4 linked regions of the Arabidopsis thaliana genome follow. The protein of the gene in region 3 interacts with the protein of the main gene of each other region in a pairwise test. Each region holds a gene or a part of one and is shown on either strand. Other genes may lie near its edges.

Region 1 (8,272 bases), about 14 Mb from region 3:
GACTAATACCAGGAGTAGTCAGACCGCCTGCATTTCTGACTACAGGTAAACCAATTGGGCCAAGCTGCAAAACTGTAATGGCAAATTAGGTGGGACTAAATGGAAGTTTGATGGCAACACAATTAAGTTGTGTATATGGATTCTAGAAGATGCCGAGAAACATGAATGGTCGAAACATGTCTACACTTTAGGGGATTTGGCTGTGTTTAATCCCAAGAATCATTTAATCCTTGGAGTGATTGCTACCGGTGAAATTGTTTTCTCAATGAGATATACATCCAAACCTTTTTATGTTTTATACTTCAATCCCAAAAGAAACACTCTCCAAAGCGTTGAAATCCAAGGTTTGGAGAATCATCTTAGAGTTTACGCCTTGGTGGACCTTGTAGAGGATCTTTATGTTAATGATGTGATGCAACTCATCTCAAGCCATGCAACCCAAGGCCAACATATCATTACGCAAAGGCCAAACCCATAACAACTACGTCAAACATCTCAGGACCTCTGTAACTCTTCTCCCCCTGAGATGAACAACCATCCGACAAAGATCCGAGTCGTTCCTGCGAAACGAGTACGATTTATTAGTTAGTTAATCTGGAGTGAGGATTGGTTCTGATGAATCTATAACTATTTTGGATAAGTGTGTAACTTCTCTCATTTTACAGGCTTTGTGTGAGTTTTATCGCTATGTTGGCCTAGCATTTTGTTCTTTCTTGTTATCATATCCTAATTGTAGTGTACTTTGGAGTTTTTAGCAAACTAATGTTTTATCCTACATTGCGTTTTTTTGGGATCTTCTGTCAATATTTATTTTCTATTGGTTTCTTGAATGATTGCTGAAAAGACTGTCAATATTAAAAGTGTTAGGGATGAAGTAGCTCAGGGGGAGAAAGTTTCAGGTTTCAAATCAGTTTTATGAGTCATGGTTGATCCTTCCTTCTCCTGTTTGTTTGGCTACTGACCTCGGATTTTGCTTCTAAAAGATGTTCTGGAAACTCGAAAGCGAGATTTCTCTAACGAAATAAAGATCATTTTCTGGTTCCTTGTGGTGTGATAGGAATTTGTCCTCAAAGTTGGCTGCTCGCAGATTATATCATTTCGGATCTGTCATGGGAAATTAGCCATAAGTTTCAAACCATAAACCCAAATCCCGCAAATAATAAGACCAATCGAAAAGTCGGTGCTTATAATTCATACAATTAATGGAGACAAAGAATAATACTTTTGGAGGAAGACTTACATAAGTTTAGCCCATAGAATTGTTACAAAACTCGTTGTAAATATTTGACCACGAGTAGTTAATTACTTTAATGGTTTTCATGAATTAATATTTGAAAGGTGAAATAACTTTTTTACCACATGTTATGTTATTTAAGGTTTTTGTTGCTATAACGGTTTTACCATGTATAATTTGTTATCTTTTTTTACTTCTTTTGCTCAATTAGATTCCCTTTCGAAATCCAGAAAAAAAAATTTCCTTTTGGATCGATGCAAGAAAGTAGAAAAGATTCTCTTTGCTCATTTGGTTAAGGTCAGGGTCATACCTTAATTAAACATTTTGTAATTGACACTTAAAATGGAATATCTTTTCAAAACCAAATACAAGTAAACTAATAATTTTTATCCGTAAAAAATAATTAAAAAAAAGATTAAGATGTTGTAAAATATAATAAGTGAACTCTACACAAGATTAATGCATATTTAAGAAAAAACAAGCAATACTAAAATCATATTATACAATTATTAATGTATGATACTAATGAGATCATATAATTACATAGAAGTTTTTAAACAAAATATTATTTTATCGAATTATGTTAAACATTATATTAGTCTGACTCGAGATTGAAAAAAATATTAATTTATAATGATTATTAATTTATCAAGTATTAATTTATAGAGAATTTTTTGTATAAACTATTCAAAGTTAAACTTCAATTTACAATTGTGCTCACTTGATATATTTTTTGTTCTTTAAGTTAAACCCAGAAAGCAAAAAAAAAAAAGTCGCTTTGATTAATAAATCAACAGATTACAGTCTAAACTTAAGGTAATGCTTTTTTGCTGAGATAGAAACAAAGTAAACCTAAAAACAAATATGAAAGAATCAATCAACAAAGAGGAGGAAAAAAAAAAGAATCATTCATGGTAGATTTGATGAAGAAGCGATTGCTTTATATATACAGTTTTATTACAAAATACAAACAAAATTTTATCAAATTATCACCCTCGATTTTTCAACATAATTTAAAATAACACCAGATGATTAATATTTGCACAAGCCAACAAATATGTAATGAAAACCCTTAAAACTAAATCTTCACAATATGCAGGAGCAGACTATATAAAAGACTAATGATAATTTTGTTTTGACATTAAAAAAACAGTTAGATTTTATGCTGAATATTATCACATACACATATATACTGTAATCAATGTTGTGATGGTGTGTAGATGTATTTTTTGCAAGTTTTTTTCTTATCAAAAGTTTTATTTTTCCTAAAACAGTATTTAGGTGATTTACACAGATCTCTAATATTATCTATATAGTTATACATTTTTATTATAATTGAAAGACTAAAAACTACCCACACTTTTTTTCTTTTAAAAATGACTTAGGGTCTAACTGGTGCAAAATTTGGAAGAAAAAATTTTCTACCTCATTTTTTTGAGCCCAAAAGAATGGGAACAATGTTAAAAAAAAATCGACCTAGGCACTGATCGTTATAGGCTCAAGGCTTCTATCAAAATCCTAACTAGCGCCTAACAATTTTTTTAACATTGAATAAGAGTAGTTCTTTTTTATTTTATTTTGTTATCAAATTATTTTTTTCCAAAAGAAAAAAAGATTATTGTTGATTTTGCCATTTTTTCATAGAAATCTTTTGAAATTGTCATTTTTACTAAAATCTTATGGATATGCCATTTTCTAACATTAAAAAAAGTATGTATTTCCGATTTTTTTGGTAAAAATACGTAGTTTATATAAAATATTAAATCCTAAGAACAAGCACAACCGACTAAACCCAAACATAACGAATAAAACACATGTTAAATCATATTTTCGTAGTGTGAAAAAGGCAAAATCTACAAACTATTCAGAAAAGGGCAAAATCCACAGATACCATCCCAAAAAATGGTAAATCCATAATTGATTCAAAGAATAATATTTCTTACTTCAAATTGCTGGGGAAAACAATTATTCTCTACGTATGGGTCCTAAAAGAATTCAAATGAAAACTTTCGTCTAAATATTGTACCAATCACACATTAAATTTTCGAAATAAATTCCACAGTTAAAGTTTCCCACAATAATCTTTTTTTTTTGGGCAAAACATTACTTAATAATCAAAATACATAATTAAGTTAAAAAGAGACCCTTTAACCATTACAACCATTATTAATAAACAACATTAGTTTTTGTCTTTCGAAATGAAGAAAACACAAATTCAAACAACTGAACACTTAGACTAGAAAATCTCCGTCTTTTGTGATTAGAGATTGTTGTTGATGTAAGGATCATAAACATCGGTGGTTGAAGGCATGTAACTGGTGGAAGCAAGATCAACGGCTGGTAGTTGATTGTAGTTGTAGTAGTTTCTGTCCACGAAAGGAATGCTTTCACGCCCTCCAACATGATTCATATGTTGTTCCACCATCGGATTCATGAATGATTGTTGTTGATTCAGATACTGATTTGAATTCAGATTCAAATTCAGATTCAAATTTATGTTGTAGAATTCTCGTTGAATCTGATTAAACAGATTATTAGGAGCCTGGTATTGAACCTGATTCATATTCTGATTTTGATAAAAATCACAAACGTTAGTAGGAACAAGGTGTTGAAACGGTTCATGCAGATTTTGACTCATATTCATATTTTCATATTGAATATGATCAGAAAATCGACTGGGAGCAGTTACCGCATTTGCGTCCGCATCAAGAAAAGGAGTCATATCGCCCGCAAGAACATGAGGATTGGTAGCATTAGGAGTATCTACAACCCTAGTTGTAGAATGAATAGGAGAGTCGGAAAACGACTCATCACCAATTTCGTCAACACCAATTCTAGTAGGAAAAGGAGAGACGGAAGACAACAACGACTCACCGTTTTCTTTAATGGACTCGATCCTTCCGTTAAGCTGATCGAGATATAGATTCATACAAGATAGCAAATCTTGAAGGTCTTTTGCATCATAACGATACTGGGACATTTTGCCTTCAACACAATCAAACATAAATCGTCTAACCTGTAATTCTCGGTTCTCAGCAGCCAAATTCTTTAGTTGCTCTTTTGCTTTGGTAATCCTCTCCATAAGATGGGTTTCTTGATCCATCATCTTCCTGGTTCGGGCTGTCCGCGGCATCTCCAGAAACTTTGAAGCTACCTTTTTAGCACCTTCCCTTGACGGCCATGACTCTGGAACCGGTATGAATGGACTATAGATGAGAGCACAAGCTTGGACACCACATAGAGTTGACAACTCGTGGAGTTTCTTGAATATCCCGTTTTTCCTCTTCATGAAGGATGTTTTCCTTGATCTTTCATTAGCTATCAAAGATAGCTTTACCTTCTTCATCCCCATCAATATGTTTTTTTGTTTTGTTTTGTGTGGTTTGTTTAATTTGTTTACTCAAAGAATGTTTATATAGCAAAGAAAGATGATTTTATAGTCACTAGGATTCTTATCACTTTGGTGGACTCATTAATTCTAAATAACATCCAGGAAATCTCTTATCAATTAATTGACCAGGTAATTCATTATTATCTATATAAAAATATTTTTTCTTATCTAAAGTTTGGCTCGTCTGATCCTAAATAATATCTGATGACAAAAAAAAGAAAAAAATCTATCCATGTAATATGAGGGGGCATGTAATATAATATTTTTATTTCTAAGTTTTGTTTATACTAAGAATTAATTTCTCTTACTCTCATTGTTTTTTTTTACTAAGAATAATTTCTAGCTTACTTTGTTCTTAGAATGTGAAGTTTTGTAATAGTTTTAAGTGATTGTACTTTTAAAATACAGTAATATATTGTCAATGTATATAGAATTGTGGTAAGCTAGAAATTACTCTAAAGTTTGTTATCTAAAGTAAATTTCAGAAAGTTTGTTATCTACAGTAATTTAAAGATGTACTTTGAATCATACAAATAAATTTTTAGAATGGGCAAACAATTTGAAAATATGCAAAGAACATCTCACATAAACGCCAAAAACTTTGAATAATTGTTATGAATGCCCTTTCAACACTATCCTTTTCAATAATGCATTTTCTTATTTGTTATTTTCATTTATACTTTCTCTTAATTTTTAATGACCATTTTACCCCTATTTAGAAAATGTTTTAAGTAAAAAATGAAATATTAATTTTTTCCCGCCAAAAATATTCTGAAAATAAATTTTCCGCCAAAAGTTTCCGGCCAAAAAATTTTAAAAAAAACTTTTCTGCCAAAAAGGTTTCTTAAAAACATTTTTTCCGCAAAAAAAAATTATAAAGGATTTTAAGAGATTTTTGAAATGAGATTTTAAAGGGTTTTAAAAGATTTACAAGGGATTTTAAAAGATTTTTAAAAAAGGTGTAAAAGAGTTTTAAAAGATTAGGGATTTTAAGAGATTTTTATAAAGTGTAAAAGGTTTTTAAAAGATTTACAAAAGATTTTAAAATATTTTTAAAGGGTTTTAAAAGATTTACAAGTGATTTTAAAACATTTTAAAAAGGTTTTAAAAGATTTACAAGGGTTTTTAAAAGATTAAAAAAGATTTTTAAAAGAATTTTAAAATATTTTTAAAGAATTTTAAAATGGTTTAAAAATTATTAAAGGGTTTACAAGAAATTGAAAAGATTTTTAATGGTTTACAAGGGTTTTAAAGGACTTACAAGGGTTTTTAAAATATTTTGTAAGAGGTTCATAAGAGTTTTAAAATGGTTCAAAATTTATTAAGGGGTTTTAAAAGATTTTTAAATTGTTTACAAGGGTTTTAAAGGATTTACAAGGGTTTTTAAAAGATTTACAAATGTTTTTAAAATCCTTTTAAATCCTTTAAAAATTCTTGTAAATCTTTTAAAATCATTGTAAAAGGTTTTAAAATGTAAAACAAAGGTTTTAAAATGGGTTTTTAAGTATTTACATATATATTTAAAAACTTTATAAAGATTTTAATAGGTTTTAAAATGATTCACAAGGGTTTTTAACAAATTTACAAAGCTTTTAAAACACTTTATAAGGATTTTTAAATGCATGTTTTTAGCTGGAAAAAAATTTGTTACAGAGAAAAAACTTTGGCGGGAAAAAAAACTTTTAGCGGGAAAATTTCAGTTTATAAATTACTTGTTCTCATTAGATGAGAGTAATTTGGTATTTTTGCTCAAGAGAATGAGTATTTTTAAAAATGGACTACATATAAGGATAAAATCAAGAGTTTAATACATTAATATGACTACATGTATTTATTTATTTATTTATTAATAATGACATATAAAAAAATTATTTATGAAAATTATTTACATTTAGAAAATATATGCATAATTTGGGTAAAATCAAGAGTTTAATACAGTAATATGATTTTTGCTTTTTTTATTATTTTTTACATTCAAATGGATATTAATGCAGGTACACATGTATAAACATGATTGGATATAAAATTATAATTTATAAAATCATGTGGATATTATACCTTTTGGGGCATTGACCAGATATTATATATTTTTTATTGCACTTTTAGAAATAAATTTTACCAGCTAATAATGAAGAGTAATTTAGCTGGCATTACCATATTTTTTTATCTTATTTATATCCCTAAAATAAATAGCTTTATGTAGACATGAGAGAATTGGTAAGAAAATATGATCCAATTATAGCTTTGGAACCCACATTTAAGAATTTTAGACTGCTTTTATTAGTTATCAAGATAAAAACATACAATTTCAATAATATAATATCTTAGCTTGTAGAAAAGTTTTGGTAGAGGTTTGTTATCTGCTTCAAAAGAGATTTATGTAAATGTCAAATTGAAAACTATTTGAAAGAACGAATTTTGTTTTTTAAGCGTTGCGATTTTTGCGAAACCAATTTTAGATGTATTAAATAAATAATTTAGAAGTACATATATGAATTTTTGGTGTTTTCTTAACTTATTAACAAACAATTATTTGTTCTAAAATAATTAAGATTGTGAATAGTGACCCAGAAAACTATTATAAGAAATATAATTAAATTCTTTACTTTAATATGATGATTATTAGGCTATTATGACTTTATAAGTAACGTTATAGAGTTGATAAAATGATAATGAAGACAATATTTTTGACTTTGAGCGTTATGATGTTTGTATTTTGAGTTATTATAGATATACTATACAATGTACTATTATGTGTTTGATTTTGTTGTTAAAACAATATTTTTAATATATGGTTTAAAGTATGGTGTTTTATATTTTGATCTTTCCAACAAATATACACTTTCCAACAACTTCACGATCTCGTTTTCATATTTCTTAGCCAACACCGCCGCTCCATCGATTTTTCTGATGGCCAGAAAATGTGTTGATTTAGTCAGACGGTCCACGATCACCCAAATAGTATCTTTGGTCCGCGATACAGGTAACCCAACCACGAAATCCATCGTGATAAAATCCTACTTCCACTCAGGAATGGGTAAACTCTGCAACATGCCACCCGACACCTGGCAAACATCACACTCTGCGACCTAGTTAGCTACATCCCTCTTCATCCTAACCTACTGATAGTACCGCTTGAGGTCTCGGTACATCTTAGTCGCTCCTAGATGAATGGAAAACATGCTCGCATGAGCCTCACTCAAGATCTCCTACCGCAACTCCTCATCATTAGGCACACAAACTCGCCAATGCACAAGGATAGTCCCATTAGCTGCGAACTGATACTAAGAACCCTCTACCTTAGAAGCCGCAATCAACCCCTCATCCTTTTCCTGAGCCAATCGAACTCTACTAAGAAGATCTGCTCGATCCACAGCCTTCAATCCCAATGGCTCCCTTGCAGCAGCACACAACCGCAAAACACCAATCTCACTCACCATGGCTTCAACACTCTACCCTGGAGCCACACCCACGCGCTTACGGCTCAACGCGTCTACAACCACATTAGCTTTACCAAGTTGGTGGGGTATCTCCAGATCATAATCAGCCACCAGCTTCATCCACCGCCTCCGCCTCAGGTTCAGCTCTGGCTGAGTGAAGATATACTTCAGACTCTAATGATCCGTGAACACCTGCACTTTCCCGCC
Region 2 (8,496 bases), about 15 Mb from region 3:
AACATCCGACTAATTTTGAGAATATACATGCTCCTTTTAAGAAAAATTAGTGAATCTATAACAGTAAAAAATTAGAAATTAATAAAGCTTAACCTCTATAAATTAATAATATCGAAATTATGATATTTCAATATTTATACAGTTATTAATTTATTAATTAAATGATCTTAAACACTTATTAGGGATCAAAGATTTTAATCTATCGAGTATTAATTTATATAATTATTACTACACCCAAATAACCAAGTGCCGCATGCTTAGAGTTTACATACTGTAAAAATAAAATCTTGAGTTGTACCAAATTTATATAATTAGTTCTTAATTTAACGTAGCCATTTGAGTTTCGGCCCAAGTGGTCAGAGGAAAGGTGTGATAGTTAACTTTACCAAATTATTATTTTTGGATATTATGAGGTGTTTTGGGCCTTAATCACTTGGCTAATCTCTTTAGGGTGAGTGTAGGATCGATTAGCCCACTCACCGAGTTTTTTAATGAGTACTTAAATCACGCTCCTCTCCCTTACCTCTGCCATATCTTTTAGAGAGGGAAAGCTTCTTTTTATGACATTGATCAGATTGTAAAATAGATTTCTTTGTTTTGTCTCTTCCAAATCATATCTTAGATCTATAGCTTAGGTTTAGTGACTTGTTGTTGTTCATCTCTGTATTTGTTTCGGACAATAAAATTCCAACTAAGATCGGATCTGTTTTGTTCTCTTCTTTCTACATACATAAACTCAAATCGCCGCAGCTATTGGTTAGATCCTCTTTGTTCACCGTCAGCTCAACTCTTCTTATATATATACGAGAGTAATATCTCCACATGTTTATCCATGGATATAGGCCTATTACGGCCAAAGGCGAAGCTTCCTACTATAGGAGCAGATTGAGATTATGAAGATTTGTTTTTTCTCGATCTACTTCAAGATGGATTCGATGGGGTTCTCTCGACTTTAGCAACGGGCAGCGCTGTAGAAGAGGAGCGGTGGTGGATCTGAAGTCTGGCGGCGGAGCTGCGCTGATCGTGGATTTGGCTAGCTACGTTTGTGTCATCTCATCTCCTTCTCGCGTGTGGACACGTATACCGCACGTAACACTTTTTTAATCTCGTCCTTATCTTTAAATTTTAGTAGGATAAATAGACTTCAATTTAAATTGAAGTTGTAAACGCTGGTGGTTTGGGCTTTTTTCATCATCTATATAACTCAATGGGCTTTTCATTTTTATGAAAATGATCTTGTGGACAAAAAAAATGAAAAAATAAAAATAATGAGACCATAAATCATAGCACTATTTGCAACTAAACCTAATTAAATTTACTAATAATTTTATAACAAAATACAAACAAAAATTTATCAAATTATTACCCTCGATTTTTTAACATAATTTAAAATAACACGAGATGATTAATATTTGCACAAGCAAACAAACATGTAATGAAAACCCAGAAAAACTAAATCTTCACAATATGCAGGAGCAGGCTATATAAAAGACTAATGATATATTTGTTTTGACATTAAGAAAACAGTTAGATTTTATGCTGAATATTATCACATACACATATATACTGTAATCAATGCTGTGATGGTGTGTAGATGTATTTTTTGCAAGTTTTTTCTTATCAAAAGATATTTTTTTCCTAAAACAGTATTTAGGTGATTTACACAGCTCTCTAGTATTATCTTATATAGTTATACATTTTTGTTATAATGGAAAGACTAAAAACTACCCACACTTTTTTTCTTTCTACATTTTTCTTCACAAAATAAAGTCATGGAAAGTCATGAAAATTAGGAACCAATAACACCCCCTTAGAGTCTAACTGGTGCAAAATTTGGAAGAACAAATTTTCTACCTAATTTTTTTGAGCCCAAAAGAATGGGAACAATGTTTAAAAAATTGACCTAGGCACTGATCGATATAGGCTCAAGGCTTCTATCGAAAGCCTAACTAGCGCCTAACGATTTTTTTAACATTGAATAAGAGTAGTTCTTTTTTTTTTGTTATCAAATAATTTTTTTCGAAAAGAATAAGAGATTATTGTTGCTTTTGCCATTTTTCATAGAATTTTTTTGAAATTGTAATTTTTACTAAAATCTTATGGATATGCCATTTTCTAACACTAAAAAAAGTATGTATTTCCGATTTTTTTGGTAAAAATACGTAGTTTATACAAAATATTAAATCCTAAGAACAAGCACAACCGACTAAACCAAAACATAACGAATAAAACACATGTTAAATCATATTTTCGTAGTGTGAAAAAGGCAAAATCTACAAACTATTCAGAAAAGGACAAAATCCACAGATACCATCCCAAAAAATGGCAAATCGATAATTGATTCAAAGAATAATAGTTCTTACTTTAAATTGCTGGGGAAAACAATTATTCTCTATGTATGGGTCCTAAAAGAATTCAATTGAAAATTTCCGTCTAAATATTGTACCAGTCACATCTTAAATTTTCGAAATAAAATTCTACAATTAAAGTTTCCCACACTACGGTGAGCAAATACATTACTTAATAATCTTTTTTTGGGGGCAAAACATTACTTAATAATCAAAATACATAATTAAGTTAAAAAGAGATCCTTTAACCATTATTAATAAACAACATTAGTTTTTGTCTTTCGAAATGAAGAAAACACAAATACAAACAATTGAACACTTAGACTAGTTCTTCTCCCTCTTTTGTGATTAGAGATTATTGTTGATGTAAGGATCATAGACACCGGTGGTGGAAGGCATGTAACTGGTGGAAGCATGATCAACGGCTGGTAGTTGATTGGATGGTAGTTGATGGTAGTTGTAGCAGTTTCCGTCCACGAAAGGAATGCTTTCACGCCCTCCAACATGATTCATATGTTGTTCCACCATCGGATTCATGAATGATTGTTGTTGATTCAGATACTGATTCGAATTCAGATTCAAATTCAGATTCAAATTTATGTTGTAGAATTCTCGTTGAATCTGATTAAACAGATTATTAGGAGCCTGGTATTGAACCTGATTCATATTCTGATTTTGAAAAAAATCACAAACGTTAGTAGGAACAAGGTGTTGAAACGGTTCATGCAGATTTTGACTCATATTCATATTTTCATATGGAATATGATCAAAAAATCTACTGGAAGCAGTTACCGCAGTTGCGTCCGCATCAAGAAAAGGAGTCATATCGCCCGTAAGAACATGAGGATTGGTAGCATTAAGAGTATCTACAACCCCAGTTGTAGCATGAATAGGAGAGTCGGAAAATGACTCATCACCAATTTCGTCAACACCAATTCTAGTAGGAAAAGGAGAGACGGAAGACAACAACGACTCACCATTTTCTTTAATGGACTCGATCCTTCCGTTAAGCTGATCGAGATATAGATTTATACAAGATTGCAAATCTTGAAGGTCTTTTGCATCATAATGATACTGGGACATTTTGCCTTCAACACAATCAAACATAAATCGTCTAACCTGTAACTCTCGGTTCTCAGCAGCCAGGTTCTTTAGTTGCTCTTTTGCTTTGGTAATCCTCTCCATAAGGTAAGTCTCTTGATCCATCATCTTCTTGGTTCGGGCTGTCGGCGGCATCTCCAGAAACCTTGAAGCCACCTTTTTAGCACCTTCCCTTGACGGCCATGACTCTGGAACCGGTATGAATGGACTGTAGATGAGAGCACAAGCTTGGACACCACACAGAGTTGACAACTCGTGGAGTTTCTTAAAAATCCCGTCTTTCCTCTTTATGAAGGATGTTTTCCTTGATCTTTCATTAGCTATCAAAGATAGCTTCACCTTCTTCATCCCCATCAATTTGTTTTTTTTTTTTGTTTTGTGTGGTTTGTTTAATTTGTTTGCTCAAAGGATGTTTATATAGCAAAGAAAGGTGATTCTATAGACACTAGGATTCTTATCACTTTGGTGGACTAATTAATTCTAAATAACATCCAGGAAATCTCTTATCAATTAATTGACCAGGTAATTCATTATTATCTATATAAAAATATTTTTTCTTATCCAAAGTTTGGTACGTCTGATCCTAAATAATATCTGATGACAAAAAAAAGAAAAAAATCTATCCATGTAATACGAGGGGGCATGTAATATAATATTTTGTATTTCTAAGTTTTGTTTTTATTTTGGCGAATTAATTTCTCTTACTCTCATTGTTTCTTTTTACTAAGAATAATTTCTAGCTTACTTTGTTCTTAAAATATGAAGTTTTGCAATAGTTTTAAGTGATTGTACTTTTAAAATACAGTAATATATTGTCAATGTATATAGAATTGTGGTAAGCTAGAAATTACTCTAAAGTTTGTTATCTAAAGTAAATTTCAGAAAGTTTGTTATCTACAGTAATTTAAAGATGTACTCTGAATCATACAAATAAATTTTTAGAATGGGCAAACAACTTGGAAAATATGCAAAGTACATCTCACAGAAACGCCAAAAACTTTGAATAATTGGTATGAATGCCCTTTCAACACAATCCCTTTTCAGTATTGCCCTTTCTTATTTGTTATTTTCATTTATACCCTTTTTTAATTTTTAATGACTATTTACCCCTATTTAAAATATGTTTTAGGTAAAAAAATGAAATATTGATTTTTCCCGCCTATAATATTCTGAAAAAAATTTTCCGCCAAAAAATTTCAAAAAAACATTTTCTGCCATAATATTTGTTTTAAAAAAGATTTTTCCCGCAAAAAACAAATTTCGCAGGAAATAGATTTACAATGGATTTTAATAGATTTTTAAAATGTGTAAAAGGGTTTTAAAATATTTATAAGGGATTTTAAGAGATTTTTATAAAGTGTAAAAGGTTTTAAAAAGATTTACAAAGGATTTTAAAAGATTTTTATAGGGTTTTAAAAGATTTACAAGTGATTTTAAAAGATTTGAAAAGGGTTTTAAAAGATTTACATGTGTTTTTAAAGATTAACAAAGATTTTTAAAATAATTTTCTAGAACTTTAAAATGGTTCAAAAATTATTAAAGGGTTTACATGAGATTTTAAAAGATTTTTAATGGTTTACAAGGGTTTTTAAAACATTTTGTAAGGGGTTCATAAGAGTTTAAAATGGTTCAAAAATTATTAAGGGTTTTTAAAAGATTTTTATATGGTTTTTAAATAGTTTTCAAGGGTTTTAAAGGATTTAACAAGGATTTTTACAACATTTACAAATGTTTTTAAAATCCTTGTAAATCTTTTAAACACTCTTGTAAATCTTTTAAAATTATTGTAAAAGGTTTTAAAATGTAAAACAAAAGGTTTTAAAACGGGTTTTTAAAGTATTTACATATATATTTAAAATTTTTATAAAGATTTTAATAGGTTTTAAAATGATTTACAAGGGTTTTTAACAAATTTACAAAGCTTTTAAAAACCTTTACAAAGATTTTTAAATGCATGTTTTTAGCTGGAAAAACATTTGTTACAGAGAAAAAAAAATGGCGGGAAAAAAATTTGGCGGAAAAAAAAATATTTTGGTAGAATTTTTTTTTGTCAGGGAAAAAATAAATTCGGCGGGAAAATTTCAGTTCATAAATTACATGTTTCTCATTAGATGTGGGTAATTTGTTTGTTTTGCTCAAGAGAAAGAGTATTTTTAAAAATGGACTACATATAAGGGTAAAATCAAGAGTTTAATACATTAATATGACTACATGTATTTATTTATTAATAATGACATATAAAAAATTATTTATGAAAATTATTTTTATTTAGAAAATATATGCATAATTTGGGTAAAATCAAGAGTTTAATACATAAATATGATTTTTGTCTTTTTTTTTATTTGTAAAATTATAATTTATAAAATCATGTGGATATTATATCTTTTGGGGCATTGACCCGATATTATATATTTTTCATTGCACTTTTAGAAATAAATTTTACCAGCTAATAATGAAGAGTAATTTAGCTGGCATTACCCTATTTTTGATCTTATTAATATCCCTAAAATAAATAGCTTTATGTAGACATGAGAGAATTGGTAAGAAAATATGATCCAATCATAGCTTTGGAACCCACATTTCAGAATTTTGGAATGCTTTTATTAATTATCAAGATAAAAGCATACAATTTCAATAATATAATATCTTAGATTGTAGAAAAGTTTTGGTAGAGGTTTGTTATCCGCTTGAAAAGAGATTTGTGTAAATGTCAAATTGAAAACTATTTGAAAGAACGAATTCTGTTTTTTAAGAGTTGCGATTTTTGCGAACCCAAGTTTAGATGTATTAAATAAATAATTTAGAAGTACATATATGAATTTTTGGTGTTTTCTTAACTTATTAACAAACAATTATTTGTTCTAAAATAATTAAGATTGTGAATAGTGACCTAGAAGACTATTATATTATAAGAAATATAATTAAAATTCTTTACTTTAATATGATGATTATTAGGCTATTATGACTTTATAAGCAACGTTATAGAGTTGATAAAATGAGAATGAAGACATGGTCTATGTTTTTAACTTCGAGCGTTATGATTAGGGGTGTCAAAATGGGTCAGAATTCATGGGTCAACTCAACTCAACTCAACCCATGATTCCTAATTAGTTGAAATTTTTGACTCAAATGAGTTGATGGGTCAAATGAGTTATTGGGTCAATTGGTTTGATGAGTAAAATGAGTTGGGTTGTAATGGTTAATGGTTTCAATGGTTTACCCAATTAACCCATCAAATTTTGTAAAATTGAATTAAACCAAATAAAATCTCTAAACCAATATCAATTTAAGTTTAACCAACACATCTAAACCAATTTAAGAAAATCAATATTTTTCCAAATTTCTTAAATATACAAGAGATGAAATTGAGAAGACGTAAACTCGTAATTTATCCACCAAAAAACAGAAATCCGTAATTTTCCCGACAAAAACGTAAATCCGTGATTTTCCCGCCAAAAACGTAAACCCGTGATTTTCCCACCAAAAACATAAACCCGTGATTTTCCCACCAAAAACGTAAACCTGTGATTTTCCCGCCAAAAATGAAAACCCGTGATTTTCCCGTCAAAAACGTAAAACCCGTAATTTTCTCGCCAAAAACGTAAACCCGTAATTTTCCCGCCAAAAACGTAAACTCGTAATTTTCCCGCCAAAAACGTAAACCTGTAATTTTCTGCCAAAAAACGTAAACCCGTGATTTTCCCGCCAAAAACGTAAACCCGTGATTTTCCCGCAGAAACGTAATCCCATAATTTTCTCGCCAAAAAAACGTAAACCCGTGATTTTCCCGCCAAAAACGTTAACCTGTAATTTTCCCGTCAAAAATGTAAACCTTTAAAAAATAGAATCCGTAAATATCCTAAGTTTGATGATAATGAATTAATAATTATTAAAAATGATAATTATTTAATAGTGTTTTATAATAATAATTAATTAAATTATTACTTAAATGGATTAACCCATTTTGTTAAATGGGTTGAGTCAACCCATAACTCATTTAACCCTAAACTCATTTGATTATGAGTTGGGTTGAGTTTGATTACCCATTTTGACACCCCTAGTTATGATGTTTGTATTAATTGAGTTATTATAGATATATTATACAATGTACTATTATGTGTTTGATTTTTTTGTTAAAACAATATTTTTAATATATGGTTTAAAGTATGGTGTTTTATATTTTGATCTTTTTTTTTTTTTTGATCTTTCCAACAAATATACACTTTCTAGAAAAATCAGAAAAATCGCCTCGGCAAACTCATTAATTTCTAATTCCATGCAACCTAGTTTTAAGTCATTTTTTTTATCTTGACGTGCTCGTTAGATTTCTTTCTTTTGTGTTAAATTACTATTGTTTTATTACAAGATTAATGTAAGCTTTTTGTCACATGATAAAGTAATTTTATGTAACATAGCAAACTAATCGGATCATTTGAAAAGCCAATTGGGCCTATGTAAAGCTAATTGTTGGGCTCTATTTACCTGTTAAAGCTTGTTGTGATTAGCATAGGCTAGGTTTTAGATATACAAAATATCTAGCCTTTTAGAGCATCTATTGGAATTTAAATATGAAAATGGATCTAATGTTTAGTCAAAAATAAATCAATAGAGTAATAAAGGGACCAACTTATGTTATTTTGCACCTAAAAATTTGTTATAAGATCAAAAATTTGTATGAAGAAATTTTTTGAGAGGGCCGTTCAACCTATTTAAAATGCATTATGTAAATATTGATTTTAAAACATATATGACGTGTTAAAATTTTTATGTCACAAAGAGTCAAAGAGATCCAAACTATACACACATATATGTAAAGAAAATAGGGTATTTCTTCTCATCCCGGCTACATTCGGATTCTATACGTGGACTCGATAAAAGACTGCATAATTAACTTGTCCATATAGCTACATGAGCCAAATAAAATCTTCAAAATATAGTTACAAACTAAATTTTCTTGAAATGGAAACGACTTGCAAATTATGTTTCTCTTTCGTGTGCAACCATTGGTCGAATGCTTTTCCACTCTTAAACACAAGTTATACAGTAT
Region 3 (9,763 bases):
GACTTCCTGACTCAATCATTGAGAAGAATTCATGTTCAAACATTCTGTCTCTTGTGGCTAATGCTGTATCTACAAAAAGCATGTTTCATGTGTTCTACAGTCCACGGTGAGATAAAAATGAAAAGCTGCCATTCGTAATGATTCTTAACTAGGTTCAGTAAGAAATAAAGAACTATAATGTTGATTTGTGGATTTATATACAGAGCGACGCATGCAGAGTTTGTGATTCCTTATGAGAAGTATATCACAAGCATCAGGAGTCCTGTTTGCATAGGCACAAGATTTAGAATGCGATTTGAAATGGACGATTCTCCTGAGAGAAGGTATTGTTTCTTTCTTGCTTCTTTCTCTGTGTTGTGTAGCTAATATTGTTGGACGAGAATTTATATTCGATCTTTCTTGCAGATGCGCTGGTGTAGTGACTGGAGTCTGTGACTTGGACCCGTATAGGTGGCCAAACTCTAAATGGAGGTGCTTGTTGGTGCGTCCTCTCATCTTTTTGGAGTATCTGTCTATTAACGTGTAGAAGACTTTTCATTTTCGAAGATTGATATCTAAATCTTTCACATTTGTTTGGCAGGTGCGATGGGATGAGTCTTTTGTGAGTGATCATCAAGAAAGAGTTTCACCTTGGGAGATTGATCCCTCGGTTTCTCTCCCACACTTGAGCATTCAGTCATCTCCAAGGCCTAAAAGGCCATGGGCAGGTTTACTGGATACTACCCCACCCGGAAACCCCATAACAAGTAAATTATATAGACCTCTCTTCTCTTTGGAGTATATGCTTTTGCAAACAGTTCTCAATTTTCATCAGTATATTATTGATAACTGTTCTTGGTTGCAGCAGAAAGGGGTGGTTTTTTGGACTTTGAGGAGTCGGTTAGACCCTCTAAGGTCTTGCAAGGTCAAGAAAATATAGGTTCTGCATCACCCTCACAGGGGTTTGATGTTATGAACCGCCGGATACTGGATTTTGCGATGCAGTCTCATGCAAATCCAGTTCTTGTGTCGAGTAGAGTCAAGGATCGATTTGGTGAGTTTGTAGATGCTACTGGCGTGAACCCAGCTTGTTCAGGTGTTATGGACCTGGATAGGTTTCCAAGGGTCTTGCAAGGTCAAGAAATTTGCTCGCTTAAATCATTCCCGCAATTTGCTGGTTTCAGTCCAGCTGCTGCTCCTAATCCCTTTGCTTACCAAGCCAACAAGTCAAGTTACTATCCGCTAGCTTTGCATGGGATTAGGAGCACTCATGTTCCGTATCAGAATCCATACAATGCGGGAAACCAATCCTCGGGTCCCCCTTCACGTGCAATAAACTTTGGTGAAGAGACTAGAAAGTTTGATGCACAAAATGAAGGTGGCCTACCAAATAATGTTACAGCTGATTTGCCATTCAAGATTGATATGATGGGAAAACAGAAAGGCAGTGAGTTGAATATGAATGCTTCATCAGGATGTAAACTTTTCGGATTCTCCTTACCAGTGGAGACACCTGCATCTAAGCCGCAAAGCTCGAGCAAAAGAATCTGTACAAAGGTAAAACGTTTTCTTTATCATCTCTTTGGCTACTTTGAGTTGCAGTTTTAGATGTCTCTTCTAATCAGTTCTTGTGTTGAATTGTTATCAAAAGGTTCACAAGCAAGGAAGCCAAGTGGGGAGAGCTATTGATTTGTCGCGACTTAACGGGTATGATGATCTCCTTATGGAGCTTGAACGGCTGTTCAACATGGAAGGGCTTCTCAGGGATCCTGAAAAAGGATGGAGGATCTTATATACTGATAGTGAGAACGATATGATGGTCGTTGGCGATGATCCATGGCAGTAAGTTCTTTATACATACCTTCTAAAGGTCAATCACAACTTCTTTTCTCCTAACTTGAAATTGGCTTTCTGCTATGGATAGTGATTTCTGCAATGTGGTGTGGAAGATACACTTATACACGAAAGAGGAAGTGGAGAATGCGAATGACGATAACAAGAGTTGTTTAGAGCAAGCTGCTCTCATGATGGAAGCATCAAAGTCATCTTCTGTGAGCCAGCCTGATTCTTCTCCTACAATCACTAGGGTTTGATACCCATAAAGAAGCTTATTTCCTATGTTTTAAAGTGTGTTTTGCTCACAAAAGAACTTCAACTTTATCTTTGTCTTTGAATCCATTTATGTGTTTGTTTGTGTTTCTTCTGGTCTCCATGGATGTCTCATGTGTACCGTTTTACTCGAGAGATATGTGAGTTTATGGGATGTGTAAAGCATGCCATTGGATTTTAAGGTTTTCAAAATTACAATATATATATTAGTTTTGAAGTATTTTGCTTGATTTTGAAAATTTCATTTCTTAAGTTCTTACATATGTGGATACTCTTGTATTGTTCTTACAATTTTTTTATTTATTTTTAGATTGATATCTAATACATACTAGATATTTGATGATGATTTAATCTTTTTTAAGGAAAATAAATATTAGAGTATACTGCACGGATTAATTAAATAGAATGATGTGACATAGATTTAGCCTTTTTTTCAACTAAAAGTTAACCTTAATTTTATTATATTTTCCTTAAATTTAACATTAATTTTATTATATTTTCTATATTAGAATTAGATTTTTATCATTTTAGGAATATTTCACAATATCTGTATTTCATCATTATAAGGAATGAAATTAGAGGGAAAGCCATTGTAATGCTGTCATTTCATTTTTTACAATGTACCAAAATATGTGGGATAATGTATGTACTATTTTAGTTGAAAAATGGTGCACACAGAAATTTTCATTATGCTTTTTTGCAAATTTATTTTAAAATAGTACATGATTGATTATGATTATTACCTTTCTGTGTTTAAAATTCTGCAATTGCCCAAAATGCGTAAACGTAACCATGGCAGACTAGTATTTTCAGAGGCGTAATGCATTTGTTTCCGACACATATAATTTATATATAGCAATAACATAATTTTGAAATGAAACAACACAATACAACATAATACTTAAACAAGAACAAGAAAAACAACAACAACACATGTAGAAACATAAATAAGAAGAAATAAAGATAACCTAAACACACAACTTTTTGTCTAGAGACTTAAGTTGGATCACACAACAAAGGGTTAATAGTAATCAGATCTAGACTGGGGAGGATAACCATGATGATGTTCATATTCAGAGATGTTTTCTCTCTTAAAACTCTGGTTTTGGATTTGGATTTGAACTTGATTTTGGTTTTGGATTTGGTTTTGGTTTGGGTTATACTCTGGTCTGAAGTTCACATTGTATTCTGGAACAAACCCTTCATTAATACCATAAGCATTGTTTCCAAAGGGTGGTAATGCATGATTAGGGTGAATTTGGTTCTGGTTGTAGTTGAAGGCATTTATGTCCATCATTCTTCTTTGGCTAAAGAGATCCATATCAGGGTTGATATGACTACCATCATCAATCCCAAAAGCAGCATTATTACTAGAACTTCCCACATAGAAGTTTGGAACATTTGCCTGAAAAAATCTGGAAGCTTCGACTGTAACTACTTTCTTCAAATTTTCAAGATTACCTTTGAACCCCTCGAGTTGAGATAACGCAAGTTCCTCAACGGGATCTTCCCACCAATTCCCAAGGGCTTTTGTCTTTTCTCTTATTTTCTTTAACTCGTCGTACTTCTTTTTCTCTGTTTCTAATTGACTCAACACCTGCAAATATATATACAAATAAAAACACCAATAATATTATTAATTTTCATACCATATGATTCTATAACATTTCATCGGCATTTTTATCTAACATACTATTAGGATATAAATCTATTCTAGTTATGGAGAAAAAGACTGTCTAATGTTTTTTATATATTATTTATTCACCTGCGAAAACTTTTACTTATATATATTAAATAAAAAAAGAATTTAACCATAGAAATTTGGGTTTTATGATTCATAGAAAACACTATTTTGTTTTAATCATACTTAAAAATAAGAGTAAGATTACCTGAGTAAGATGATTATTCAGATCCTGAACAATCGAATTTCGACGAGTTTCTCTAAGTTGCATGTTGTTGTGTTGGTGAGGAGGTAGAGGGTTATTGTTTATGAATCGATCAATTACAGAATCAACATTTGGATGACCAAAAGAAAAGACTTTTCGACCAGGTGAGAACACAACTATGGCCACTTCTGCACCACAAAGTGTGCAAAGCTCACTAGCCTTTTTGAAAAGTCCAGATCTTCTTTTTGAAAAAGTAACTTGAAGGTTACTTTCATTTTTCATTTTGACCATCTCTATTTTTTGACGACCTTTGCTTTTTTTCACCATTTTTAGTGATATTTGAGAAGCTAAAATATAGGATTGGTGTTTGTAGAATGAAAATGCTCATGTATTTATAGCAGAATATTACAAACCAAATAATTAATATTTGAGTTGTCTATGAGTAAATTTCAACTTTGATTTATTATATTTTTATTTGAATTTGAATTTTACTATTTTTGTAACATTTCATAATCTTAATATTCAATCAATATATGGTATGCAATACAAATTTATTTGACTATTATCTTCTCATTTCATTTGTACAATGTATCCAAATCTGCCAGAAAGATCCACCTTTAATTAGTAGTGATCTTTTCATATCTAATAGTAATATTATTGGAATATTTTTTTTAAATATAGCAACAAAAATGGCGGCGTAAAAAAAATTACTAACAAGTAACAAGCGTAATATGGTCAATATGTTTTTGATTTACTGATACATCATTTTCGTTAATTGTTTAATATTCTAAACTTAATCTCATATTTTAATATATTAAAAAATCGTTATATTGTTATCTGAAATTATTTGTCGCTATTTTCTAAAGTAAAACATGTATTCTCTCGTTTTTTTTTGTTAAAGGGTCTTCTTATGTATTCTCTCGTTATTGGTGATTGATCTATTATCGATAATGAAAACTATTTATGATAAAATGATTGTATGATTTTTTTAGCAATTGTTGTAACAAATATACTCCGTTACATTATTTATGCAATCATATTCTTTGCTACTTTTTAGATAGAACATATTTTTCTTACGTTATTAGCGATTGATTTGTTATCACTAATGAAAAATATTTATGATAAAATTGTTATGTGATTCTAGCAACTCGGCCACAATTGTGATAGGTTTGAGATATATATATGATTAAGCCCGGCATGACTATGAACTATTTCTTTGTGTTCCATACACATATATCCTTCTCTCTTTATATATATATACACACTAACCTTTATATGATGTAATTATCATCTAAAAATAGTTTATTTATATATTTATTTTAAGAGAGTATATTATAAAAGATTAGATTCAAGGAAAAACATTCGATATATTGTTTATCGGATGAAATGAGTTTATGAATTTTGCACTAAATAATGTTCCTTTATGAATATAGAAAACTTAGTTATTTATGTGATAAATACAGAAAAAATGAAAATCGTCAAAAACGGATACCATGAGATAACACTATAATTTTGAGAGCTTTAAGATAGAATTATTTTGTTTGGACCGTTATATAGAATATGAAGACCATTCCAAATTCATTATTATTTCTGATAAATTGACAATAGATATATGCCGTTACATTACTTACTAACTCTGTTTTTAAAATAATAATGGAATACATTCCTCTATTGTTATTGGCGATAAATTTGTTACTGATAATAACATATATTTATGATAAAATGGTGATATCTTATTTCCAATAATATTTATAGCTCCCCTATCTCATTTGATGGATTGATAAAAATTATTTGAATGACTTTATTATTTTTTGATAATTTGAAGCCAGATTCTCTTAAATTACACAAAATATCAATTATATAGTAATTAATATGAAATATTCAACTTATCTATGTAGAATGTAAATGTCATCCAAAAATAGTGAAATGGTAGTTGTTTCAGATAATATCTCCAATTAAAATTATTTTACCGATGATAATATAATACGGGCATGTTTATTAAAGTATGCATAAAATAGTGATCTTTAAAAGAATCTTATCATAATACTGAACTAGATAGAATTGATTAATCTTAAAAACTTTCAGTATTGATTACAGTATTAAAGTTTTATCTGAGGTACAATGATTTTTGTTAACTTATTATTTTTGATAGTTAATTGGTATATTTTCTGAAATTGATTTTAGAGTTATAAATATTATGGTAAATATAGTTATACTGATATCATAAAATAATAAATATATATGAGATCTTTAGAAATATGTGATTGAACTAAATATCTTAAAATTCTTATTTATGAAACTTTTAAATAGTTAATATACCAAATAATTTAAAAAAGGAAACAATAATTTTCTACAAATATAATCCATAAAATTTAGACGAGACAAACTACTTTTGCAGTAATTATTAATTTGTATATTTGTTATATAAGATAAATTCTTCAAAATACCACATTTTTTAAGTTTTGTTGCCAAAAATGTCACTATTAGTTTAATATTTCAAAGATACTACCAAAAAAAATTTGTTTTTCAAAAATACCACAAAACAACAAATTGATGTCCAAGAGTTCAAAATTTAAAATTTTAGGTTTGGGTTACCTATTTTAGATTTAGGGTGTAGTTTTTAAGGGTAGGATTTTAGTGTTTAAGGTTAGGATTTGAAAGTTGAAAATTTAATTTAGTTTTGTGATATTTTTGGAAAACCAAAAACTTAAGTAGTATTTTTGAAAGATCAAACTTAAGTGTGATATTTTTGAGAACTGTTTGCTATATAAACATATTTGCGTACTTTAAGAAATATTATTTATAGAAAACTGCCAAAGGATTAGAAAAATTCACTAATATATACACATAATTGAAAGACCTTTTATACTCTTTGGTAACATATTTATTAGTATGTAAAATAAAAATACAAATGGTTTTAGTTTAATCAAATAAAATGTAAAAAAATAATATAAAATATTGAAGTCTTTAGACCATGACTAATAACCTAGCGGTATTTGCTAGAATCATCGTTGTGTCATTGCCGAGATGCAATTCCAATTAAAATAATTAATAAATCATATAGAAGAAAATCATACAATATTTTATATTATTACTCCCTAAAATAATGAATTCCTGAGTTTTTCACCAAGATTTAGAAAATTATAAATTATATATTTTGATTAATTATTTTTGTGCTATATCTTTTAAAAAGTTAATCTCAAGTTGCTTTTTGCTCCACTTATCTTGAAAATAATAAATGATGTACTTTGATTTATTGTAAATTTAAAAGCATAAATTAATTGATTGATCTTGAAAATAAAAATGCGTTAAATATACCACGGAAAATCAATATTTTGATACAAAAACAAAACCTCACGAAATCATTCTTTGGAATGAATAAACCAATCATATGATATGATACATGACATTCGAACATAAGGAACTGCTATAGGAACAAAAGTTTCCCACATTAACCTCAAAGGCTAGTCTCTCTAAAATCATGGGACTAAGAGCAAGTCCAGTGATTAGTTTCTAAATAAAGTTTCTATGTATTTTTTATTAATAAATTTGGATAGTTTTGTAGTTTAGAGATTTTTTTAGAGTTTTTAAAGATTTGGTGGTCCATTGGTGGAATACTTAAGTGGGTTTCTAAAACAAAAAAAAAAATGAAAAAAAAGAAAATTTGTTGATATTTTTATACATAAAATAGATGGGAGAACCTGTGAAAGACTGAAACTGCCATCTACAAAATTTTGTTGGTAGAGCCCAATATTTGCTCCATCTACTATAGCTTCGTAATCTCCATGTTTCTCAAGCCAGTCCTGCCAAATAAGATAGCAACATTCAATAAATATCGACATTTGAATACTCAAGATTGATGACAATTCGCAGTAGAAACTCCAAGCACTATACCTATCTCTAAATGCTTATCAAAGTTAACTAAACAAAAAGTAAACTTTCATTAATATTTAATGTCCAAGACTTATTATAAGCAAGCTAAGAGAATCAAGGAATCATCAATTCTTTCTCTAACCTGAAACTCGCTGAAGACCACATCTGACTCACATGAATTCATTTTTGCCTTCCTTTCCATAGCCAAAGCCACCAAAGAATCCACAAACTTCTGTGTTTCTACCTCATTGGTATCTACACAAGCTAACTGCTCACTGCAGCTCAAACATCTTCCTGTTGAGCTAACATTACCTTTCTTTACAATCCATTTTCCATCACCAACCCACCCATGCCCGTGCCACCCACCTCCATTCTTCAAAACAGCTTCTCTAAGCATCTCAACATCAGAACCAATGCCATAAATCTCAATCTGACCAAGTGTTTGTCACTCCTGCGTAAAAACAACGGCAACACAAGAGAATCCATTTCCTGAAACTGAAACTGAAACTGACAACAACCACCTTTGTACCTTGCATTATGTTAACTACAGAATCATTACGTGATTGAATCATTACATGATAAAATACAGAATGTATTGTATGAGAATCATTACGTGATTGAATCAATAACCCATGTCGATACTTTTAAGTTAACTAGAGAGAATCAAAAACTTTTTAAAAATGAAGCTCACTCGCACATACAACTGAACAGAATTTTGCATCTTTTTCAACGAAACGGATCTGATCTTTTTCAAAAAAAACTTGAAGACCACATCATCTAATGATTTTTAACAGCTTCTCAATCAACGATCTATTGCAAAATGCAGAACCTAACAACACTTACAAATTTATCCAATCCTACATTTATGCAAATTTTCCCAATCAATCAAACAATCTTGAGCTTCAATTTCTTGAAATAAGATTAAGTACCAAAAATTGCATAAGATCAAAAAACTTACCGGAAGAAGAACAGAAGCCAGAAGTGGAAGAGTCCAAGCTAACAAACTCGTCGTCGGAAGAAGACTTCGAGTTCGAACCATCACCACCGGAATCAGAAGGATGAGGACTCGCCGTGATTGTGATCGGCGGAGGAATCGGGAACAGAAACTTCTCCAAATCAAAAGAACCGAGTTTGTTTTTCGATTCCAATTGGAGTCTCTGTCGGAACACGAAGAAATGAGAAGGAAGAAGAATGTGTTTTTTTTGTTTTTTTTGAGTCAAAACTTTTACCCAATAAAGTGAAGCCACGTATGGGTTTCTATTGGGTCGCGAAAAACCCAATTTTAGGAACGCTCCTAAATGGATTGTTCTGTTTTTCTTTCTGTTGGGCCCATTTTACTTAGAAATCTAACATAAAAACCCACTAAAAACCATTGCTGGACTTGGTCTAACACACCACGAACCACATCATTTTGCACATAAACAGAATACAACGAGCACACTTGTCCAGGATGAACAACGAAAGGATTGGATTGGATTGTCCGCAAGGATTAAGCTTATAACAGTTGTTATATCCTTAAACGAGCATCATGTAGTACTGTTGTCTTCTTTGTCTTTGGCAGAGAAGTATAATGCTTCTGGGCTTCTGGCTTTGACCATAACCATGAAGTTAATCACATGCAACACAATTTGCAATGGAGGAGAAGAGCTGAATTTTTCTAATTAATAAATAAAATTTGGAGCCCATAATTTACATTGCTATATCTCTCTATAGCTCCTGGCTTCGAAGTAATTTTATCATCGTCCACACAAAAAAAACCTATTTCGAGTATACAAACTACTAATTAAATCGGAACCACTGTGCCCACTTTTCTTTTCTATCAGAGAAACTAAATCAGCCAGTGCTTCGCTTTGCAAATTACATCCTGCAGTGTAGCAGACAAGGCCAAGATTCTGAACCGATATTGAAGAGAGAGT
Region 4 (8,135 bases), on a different chromosome or scaffold from region 3:
TTCATATTAGTAAGCCTATGATTTATGTTCTTCCAAAGCATTATTGTAGAATTAATGAACTCCTCTACCTATGTTTTTAACTTTTTAAAAAGTCTAGTGAAGCCGGCCAGTTAAATTTAATTACGTTAACAAATGAAAGCTTTTTTCCATAATTTATTTTTATTACTTCAATCTTAAAACATCTTACACAAACACCACATACTGTATATATGAGCAACAAATAAATGATAAAAATAAATAAAAACTTGATTGAGTTACAAAGGCAATGCCAAGTAACATATTCATGTATCAAAGAATCAAGAATTTAAGTGCACTCGGCAGGAACTCCTCGAGGAAACCTTCTTTTATCGGTGCAATAGTTGTAGATCATGTATTTACTTTGCACACCTTTCATTCTTGTCTGGCCGTTCGAATCGAGTTTTTGAGTGAACCATGGGGAATTCGCGGAACAAGATGATTTTCCATTAGCCCATACACATCCATCGACATTGTAGTTTCTATAAAAAGCAGTAAAAGGAGCTTTTGACCAATCTGTTTTCTCTAATCCTCCTCTTGTTGCCCAATGCTCGGCTTCCCAAAGACTCGCGTAGAGTCTCATTGGTTGTCTAGTTGGGAACGGGACTCCAATCGCCTCGGGGTTCTTGAACTCTCTAATAGGAATTCCATCAACCGTAAAACTGTAAGAGGGGCAAAAACAGAAGAGAACGTAAGTTCATGAGCGCATAGCCTCAAAACATATAAGATTATACAAAGTATCAAAGGTTACGCTTACATAATCCTTTGAGGATTCCATGTGATGCAATAAGTGTGAAAGTTAACGGTTGGGTCGAACCATAGATGAAATTGTTGTTCTTTGTCTCCTGTGCCTTTTGTGTAAACATTAGTATGGAGAGTATATGGATGACCACTTATGTTTCCCAAGAACTCGAAATCGATCTCATCCCACGTAGTTCCCGGAGATTTTAGCTACACAAAGTCATCATAAACACAAACATACTCAATTAATGTAGGCCTAAATATATGTACTATAGGAATAGCAAAAGATGACAAAAAACGGTTTGAAAATTGTATGTAACTTACATAGAATGTTGTCACTGTTCCAGCTGAATTACCAGGAACAAGTTTCATTTGAACCTCGGCTTTGCCATAGAGAAACTCCTGGTTAGACTGAAAACCGGATCCAGAGGATTTGTCGAGCGAGAGAGAAAGAAGTTTTCCATCTCTGTCGTGAATCTTTCCGCGGCCATCACCCCAATGTATCTGAACGTCTTTGTGGAAGCTACCCGCATAGACATGCACAGATTGTGCCGCAAGAAGAAACAGAAGTAAGAACGCAAAGCTTGTACCACAAGAAAGCTTCATTTTGTTCTCACAGGAGTATTGATATCTCAAATGTATTGTTTGATGGACAATCGAGGTAAGTGACATTAGTATATATAGTGTTTGGAAATGTTAAAAGAAAGAGAGAAGGAAGTTTCATAGGTTTGATTATTGATCGTGGGCTGTATTCTAGTTGGCTCATTCGACCTCTTGTTGGTTGTTACAAATTGAAGCCAATAAAATATAATTTCATTACTCGTTTATTGTTACAAAACAGAGAAAATAATGTATATAGACATTCGTATATCACATGCTGGTCCCGCATTGAGATCATTAGATGGAGCCCATATATCGCTATTTTCAACTTTTATAATTTGTAAAGTACATTACTCTAAGAATATCTTTTGGTATTACAATTATTTGAAAAATATAAGAAATTCAATTGGTATAAAAACATGGTTATAAACTTTCTATTGGTAAAAATAATAAAAAAAGAGTTATAAGTGATAAAATGTGGTGCTAAGATAACTCACAAGAGTTCTAAAATAGTTTCAGTATTTGACATCATAGGAAGGTTATTTTGAACACAAAGTTCAATAGTTAAAATTTGCTAAGAACTACTGAATTCGTATATGTTTAAGCACCTATAAAACTAATTAGATATGTTTCTTTTTCTTTATACTGTTTTAAATATTAAATTAATGTAAATATTTGAATACTGTATTATCCTAAATATATTAATTCATTGTATTTTTTCTTTTAGTCATTTTTCTTAAAATGTAATTAAAAACAAATAAATAGGGCTCCTAGATGGTTAAGCCAAAACAATGTTGACCTTCCATTGCTTGATCTGTCCAAAATGGAGAGTGTGGATAGTTCTGGCCGTTTAAATGTTAAGCCATAACATTACGTTCTATCCAACAAATACTACAAACAAAAAAGTAGTTGCATGAAAAAAATTGAATGCTATTAATTTGAATCACTTGTTTACAATCGATACAAGAATTATAGTTTAACATCAATTGCAATAATCGATGTCGTATTAGTTTATGTGGCATCAGTTCACTAAAATTGATACAAATCTAAATCCATTTGCATCACTTGATACAAATATACGATTTTAAATTATTTAGAAAGTGATATAAAATTTAAATCAATAACAACCAATACTAATTAAATATTAAAAAAATTGTTTACCAAGTGATGTAATTGTTTACTCAATTTGTCTATGTCTCACATTGCTCCTATGGGAAAATGAGGCTTCATAGTTTTTTTTATTTAGTGACCTTAGTTTTTGATGGTGTAAAATAAATGTAAAGTGTAATAAACAACTTAAAGAGAAAGTTTTTGATGGTGTTAAAAAAAATGTAAAGTTTAATAAGGAACTTAAGAAAGGGTAAATAAGATAAGTGTGGACGCAAGAATTGTCCAACAATTAATAATAATAAAAAAGACATCACATATAAGTTTTGTCTTATAAAATGGAGAAAACACAAATGCAAACGATCAAACACTTCACTCGAAATACATCCCTTAGACTAGAGATCATTGGTGATGTTAGGAGCACAAACATCAGTGGGGGCAGTGGTGACGGTAGCGAGACAATCGATTTCGGGGTGGTAGTTGTTGTTGTCCATGCAAGGAATGCCCTCGTCCTCTCCATCATTAAGATTTTGATTCAAATCCAAAACCATACTTTGATTCGAATCCTTATTCATATTCATATTAAAACCATGAATTTTCTTTGGAATCTGATCATAAAAATCATAAAGAGCCTGATATTGGAATTGAACCGGCTTTTGCTGATTTTGATTATGATATTGAAACATAGGACCATCAAATCCGACTGGTGCAGCTGCATTCGCAACAATAGGAAGAGGTAAAGATGAAGAAGACTCACCGTTCTCAATAAGGATCTCAATCCTGCGAGTAAGACCATTAAGATACTTATCAATATATAAACTCAAATCTTGAAGATCCCTTCCATCAAGATTATACACATTCGTCTCCCCTTTGAGACAACCAAACATTAACTCCCGAATCTGAGAATTATGGTTCTCATCACGTAGCTTCTGCAGCTGCTCTTTTTCTTTGGCGATCCTTTGACTTATAAAAGTCTCTTGATCCACCATCTTCTTGGTCCGGTCCAACACCGACAACTCCATAAATTTCGACACCACGTCTTCAACGCCTTCCCTTGACGGCCAAGCCTCCGGGATCGAGTTGAACGGACTATAGACGACCGCACATGCTTCAACACCACATAGAGTGACTAGCTCGGTTAGTTTCTTCGTCATCCCTTTCTTCCTTTTGGTGAATGTTGTTTTCCTCGATACACTGTTTTCTATTAACGATAACTTCATCTTTCTCTTCATATCTATTGTTTTTGTTATATGTGTTTTGCTTTGTTAGCATGAGGACGATTGTTTATATACTAGATAAAATGTGTTTCTTATTGCTTTGCTGGACTATTTTCAATTTTTATTTTCAGGATATGGTATTACTTTCACCCTTACGTGTTGGCATGTGATTGATGGTAAAGTGATAATCATTTATCTTTATAGACAGCCCATATAGATATTTTACCTTTTGGGGGGCATAAAACCAGACATTTAGGGGGAAAATTGTATCATATATGTAATGTGATTTATTTTTTATATAGAAAGTCCATTTAAAGGAAAATATATATTTCAAAGGTAATTTAAGATATTTTCTTCTCTATACATTTTTCTATTTGTTATTATTTTTATTTTAATATAATTAATATAAAATGCCTAAAATTGAAACTTACAGTTACAGGTAATAATTAGTTGGATAGAAAGTAAGATTATGTCTAAGCATCTAAACAGCCAGAATCACCCACACTTTCCATTTTGGGTAAATAAGTCAATGGAATGTCAAAAATTGTTTTGGCCTAGCTATCTAGGTGTCCAATTATTCATTTTAATAAAAAATGATTAAAATGAAACATATAAGGAAATAATATATTTGATATAATTTTGTATATTTACATTAATTAAATATACAAAAATTATAGAGAAAAGAAAAACATATCCAATTAATTAGTTTTCTTGGCGGTAAATTATCTAGGAATGTCTAGTTAGCTTTAGCAAATTATGAATATTGGTATAAGATATCTATATCTAAGACTATACCATATTTTAAACTCTTGAATTATGTGAGACAACCTTAGATTTGTCACAATTTAGTAGTTGTTCTAATTAGCCGCTCCATTGAGATGGAGGAGTCTTACGAGTTCACATTAATTCGGATCAGTTTTACTAAACAAACTATTATCCACAAAAAGCTACGGAAAATTTCACAAATTAGGTCTCGTTATTCTAATCTTGACTAACATCTTATTCTTTTTCTGTCTTACAAAGATTTAAGTATTAACGTTAAATAAAAATGGTGATAAAGAATCTCATCGCCGGAGACTACATTGGGAAACATATCTCATACCTCATGATGCATCCCATCCATTTTGAGTCCAAAACCTAACTTCCGAATAAGAGGTTTATTTGGGAAACAATTTCAAGTTCTATCAAAATCTCAGTAGGTACACGTGTTAAGGCTTGTAATGTTTGGAAAATGTCATCTCCACCGTAACTCATCCACCGCAAATTCAAACTCCGCTGTAGACTCATGGCTTCATCTAGACACCTCTGCACACGGATTCCCCCTTTTGCAAATCTCTAGCAATAAATTGATTGATACTTACTCTTCTTCTCCACGTAATCCCATGAAGCAAGGGTATTACGCAGCAAATAATTATAACTTGTTTTAGAGTCATCATTTTCAAAAATGTGACTGTAGTTTAGTGGTTAGTCCCAAACATTTTACTATACAGTTTTGAATCTAATTTAGACGAAAATTTTGTAATTGTTTTAAAAAACAGTTTTTTGTTATTGGGCCAAAATCTTTTTGCTGTAGGCACTCAAATTTGGGCCCTGATTATGGCTTTGATGTGGTGAGGTGAGAAAAGTGTTTAACCAGTCCGGGGTTAGAGGTAAACCCAAAAGATCACCGCTCAAGATTGACCCGACGTGTAAGTGTATGGGTTACATTGAGTTAATCAGTGTTCTTAATCTACCTTTTTATTGTAAGAACAGAAAAACTATACCGTTCTCCGACATTTCAATCACCAATAGACTTGGTGTACTATAGACATTAGACAGCAATGTAGAGTTTAATAAACATGACCTGTGAATATAAATGCAAATTGTCCGATTTAATAAAAGCCAATCAATCACGGGGAAACTGGTATAGTCAACACTCTTAACCCACACACACATATTGACTAAATTTATCACCAAGACAACTTTATGATGTCCCATGTGTGAATAATAAATAACAATTAGTAATTAATTTACAGATCTTGCAGGTTACTTACGCTAACGCAATAGAGAGAGTTGGAACAAACATTTGACATAAAACATCTCTTACAATAATAACAGTGTCAGATAAATAAACATATTCAAAGATATTGTCTAGTCTCTGCACTTGAAGATGAATAATTGCTTTTTTACTCTTTTTCCTCTATTTTAAACTAAAACACTTAAAGATCTTATCAGATCAGAATAAGGCACTAAACTTGATCCATTTTCTTAACATGTCACTCATTACAAAGACTTAACTTTAACAGCTTCACTATCACCACCATCACCATCAATACCATCATCATCATCATATTAAATACTCTTCCAATTGCCAGCTTAACCAAACAATGACTCTTTTCCAAAATATGCTAAATTCTAACTTTTAACTTTCTTAAAACACATAAGAAACAAAATGATGAAGTAAACAAGAGAATGAAAAAAAAAAAAAAAGAGAGAGAGAAAGACAGATAGAGAGAATTGATTGAACAGAGAAGAAGAAACAAATCTTGCTTGAAGTGTGAACAAGATTCTCAAAACAAAAAAAACCCTAGAAAATTATGAAAAAATGGCAAATGCAAAAAGACAATTAATTAATGAGGATGATGATGTTGCTGAGATAGTAGGTAATGAAATTTAATGAAGACTGAAAAATAAATTATAGACAAAAAATAAGTAGAAGACTCAAACCAAGAACAGATATTCTTCTTTTTTTCCTCCCTTTCACACTTGAAGATGAATCAAGATTTAGATTCACTTGTTTCTCTCCCCTGGAATCAAAACATTCATAACCAAACATCAAAACATGAACTGAGCAGAAACTAAGAACAGAGAAGAATAAGAAACTTACAAATTACAATGAAGTAGAAGATCTCAGATATGGCAACCAAAGCAATTGCAAGTTTTGGGAGTGAAAGAACAGTAACCAAAGGGTCTATTAGGGATATTGCAGTTAATAGCATAGCAACAAGGAGAAGGCAAGCAAAGACCTTTAGCACCACCACAACAAGTACAAACTGAACATATCTGAAAACTTCCAAGTTTCCTTCTTGTTTCATTCATTACCATAAACTTCTCCTCCCCCAATGGCACCATCATCATCTCATTATCTCCTTCAGCTGGTAATACCTCATTTGCCTAAACAAAATTCCAATCAAAACCCATAAAGCTCAAAACTTTGAATTCAGGTTATGTTAAAGGTTTGATTTTTAACAAAATTAGAAATACCCAGATGTGAAAGAAGAGAACTTTAGAGGGATCTAAGTAAAGAAACTAACCTGGTGACTGGAACTGATGAAGATTGAGAAGAGAAGAAGCAACAAGAAGACAATAGAGATCTTCGATTCTTCTAAAGTTCTCATTTTTTTTTTTTTTGGTTTGAAATTTTATTTTCTTTGTTGGGTTTGGTTTATTATGTGGTTAGGGATTTTGGGTAAAGTAGCAAATGCTACTTCTCTCTCGAGCTACTTTTTTCAATTATTTTGGTTATAACATTTATGATTTTTGTAGAGAAATGTTTTTGTTTTTTTTATTGAGGGAAGAAATAATAAGTGGGGTCTTTAATTTTACTATTCTTTAATTTCTCCACTTCATTACCACACCAATATCGAATCAACTGATAGAGAAAACCATACCAATTGTAATAAAACAGATTCTTCTTCTTCTTTTCGAAGGATCTGATTCTTTTGGTGACAAATATAATTTCAATAACGTTGAGTGTTTTTTTCAATTAGCATTTAGAATAGTGAAGTGGAGAAGATACCAGGCAGCAAAATTTATAACCCATACATAAGAGCTTATTTGGTCAATGACAAGAATTTAAAAGTGTGTCGTACATGTAGTATATAGTCTTTGAGTTCATAGTTTCAGTAAATTTCTTTGAGTTCATATCTCTGGTACTGAAATCTGATAACAAATAAAATAAATGAGTCATCTCACAATATCTAAAGGAATAATCTAGAAAATGCGTTGCCAAAACGTGGTTTTGAAATTGTCCACAAATCTGAAATCTTTGTAAAGTAGTAATCTTCAATATCCAATATATACCGGAAGAAAAATTACGAGAATACTATTACCGTAATTAGTAAATCAAAAAGATTTTCATATATTCTATTAATAAACTTAATACAAAGAAGATCAAGGTATATATCTTTAGGTGCAAGACAAGCAAAAGTAAATCTACTTGCAACTCTCATTAATAATACTATGTAAAGTTGATGGTGTAAGAGATAAAAAAAACGTTTGCTTTGAAGAAGATAACAAGGAAATCTCAAAATTGCTTAATAGTACTAAATTAAAATTTGAAACCTTCAATTGGTTGGGAGCTAGATTCTGAAAGCACAAATTTGAAGAATGCCAAGTCAAACGGATTAAACGGGACTTGTGAAACTGATACTACTAGATAAAATTCTTGACAAAGCCCAAGCGTTAGAGGGCTCA

Evidence for each region.
Region 1: the proteins of AGL62 (region 3) and AGL90 interact in a two-hybrid assay, tested with the Arabidopsis thaliana proteins (one large-scale study listed by BioGRID).
Region 2: the proteins of AGL62 (region 3) and AGL36 interact in a two-hybrid assay, tested with the Arabidopsis thaliana proteins (one large-scale study listed by BioGRID).
Region 4: the proteins of AGL62 (region 3) and AGL38 interact in a two-hybrid assay, tested with the Arabidopsis thaliana proteins (one large-scale study listed by BioGRID).

The regions. Positions count from the first base shown.
Region 1 is NC_003076.8:9,988,191-9,996,462, forward strand, and holds AGL90 (AGAMOUS-like 90), read right to left. Parts: upstream 4,581-8,272; coding exon 3,924-4,580; intron 3,801-3,923; coding exon 3,495-3,800; downstream 1-3,494. UniProt on the Arabidopsis thaliana protein: Probable transcription factor.
Region 2 is NC_003076.8:9,339,086-9,347,581, reverse strand, and holds AGL36 (AGAMOUS-like 36), read right to left. Parts: upstream 3,798-8,496; coding exon 2,697-3,797; 3' UTR 2,571-2,696; downstream 1-2,570. UniProt on the Arabidopsis thaliana protein: Probable transcription factor.
Region 3 is NC_003076.8:24,300,867-24,310,629, reverse strand, and holds AGL62 (AGAMOUS-like 62), read right to left. Parts: upstream 5,250-9,763; 5' UTR 4,302-5,249; coding exon 3,978-4,301; intron 3,686-3,977; coding exon 3,110-3,685; 3' UTR 2,914-3,109; downstream 1-2,913. Other genes in the region: ARF4 (auxin response factor 4), read left to right, coding at 1-106, 204-323, 406-481, 581-746, 848-1,536, 1,631-1,821, 1,904-2,072; AT5G60430 (antiporter/ drug transporter), read right to left, coding at 7,562-7,777, 7,990-8,244.
Region 4 is NC_003070.9:24,250,489-24,258,623, reverse strand, and holds AGL38 (AGAMOUS-like 38), read right to left. Parts: upstream 3,696-8,135; coding exon 2,859-3,695; 3' UTR 2,767-2,858; downstream 1-2,766. Other genes in the region: XTH17 (xyloglucan endotransglucosylase/hydrolase 17), read right to left, coding at 305-677, 773-966, 1,081-1,428; AT1G65295 (ubiquitin carboxyl-terminal hydrolase), read right to left, coding at 6,570-6,833, 6,974-7,057. UniProt on the Arabidopsis thaliana protein: Probable transcription factor involved in the development of gametophytes and seeds.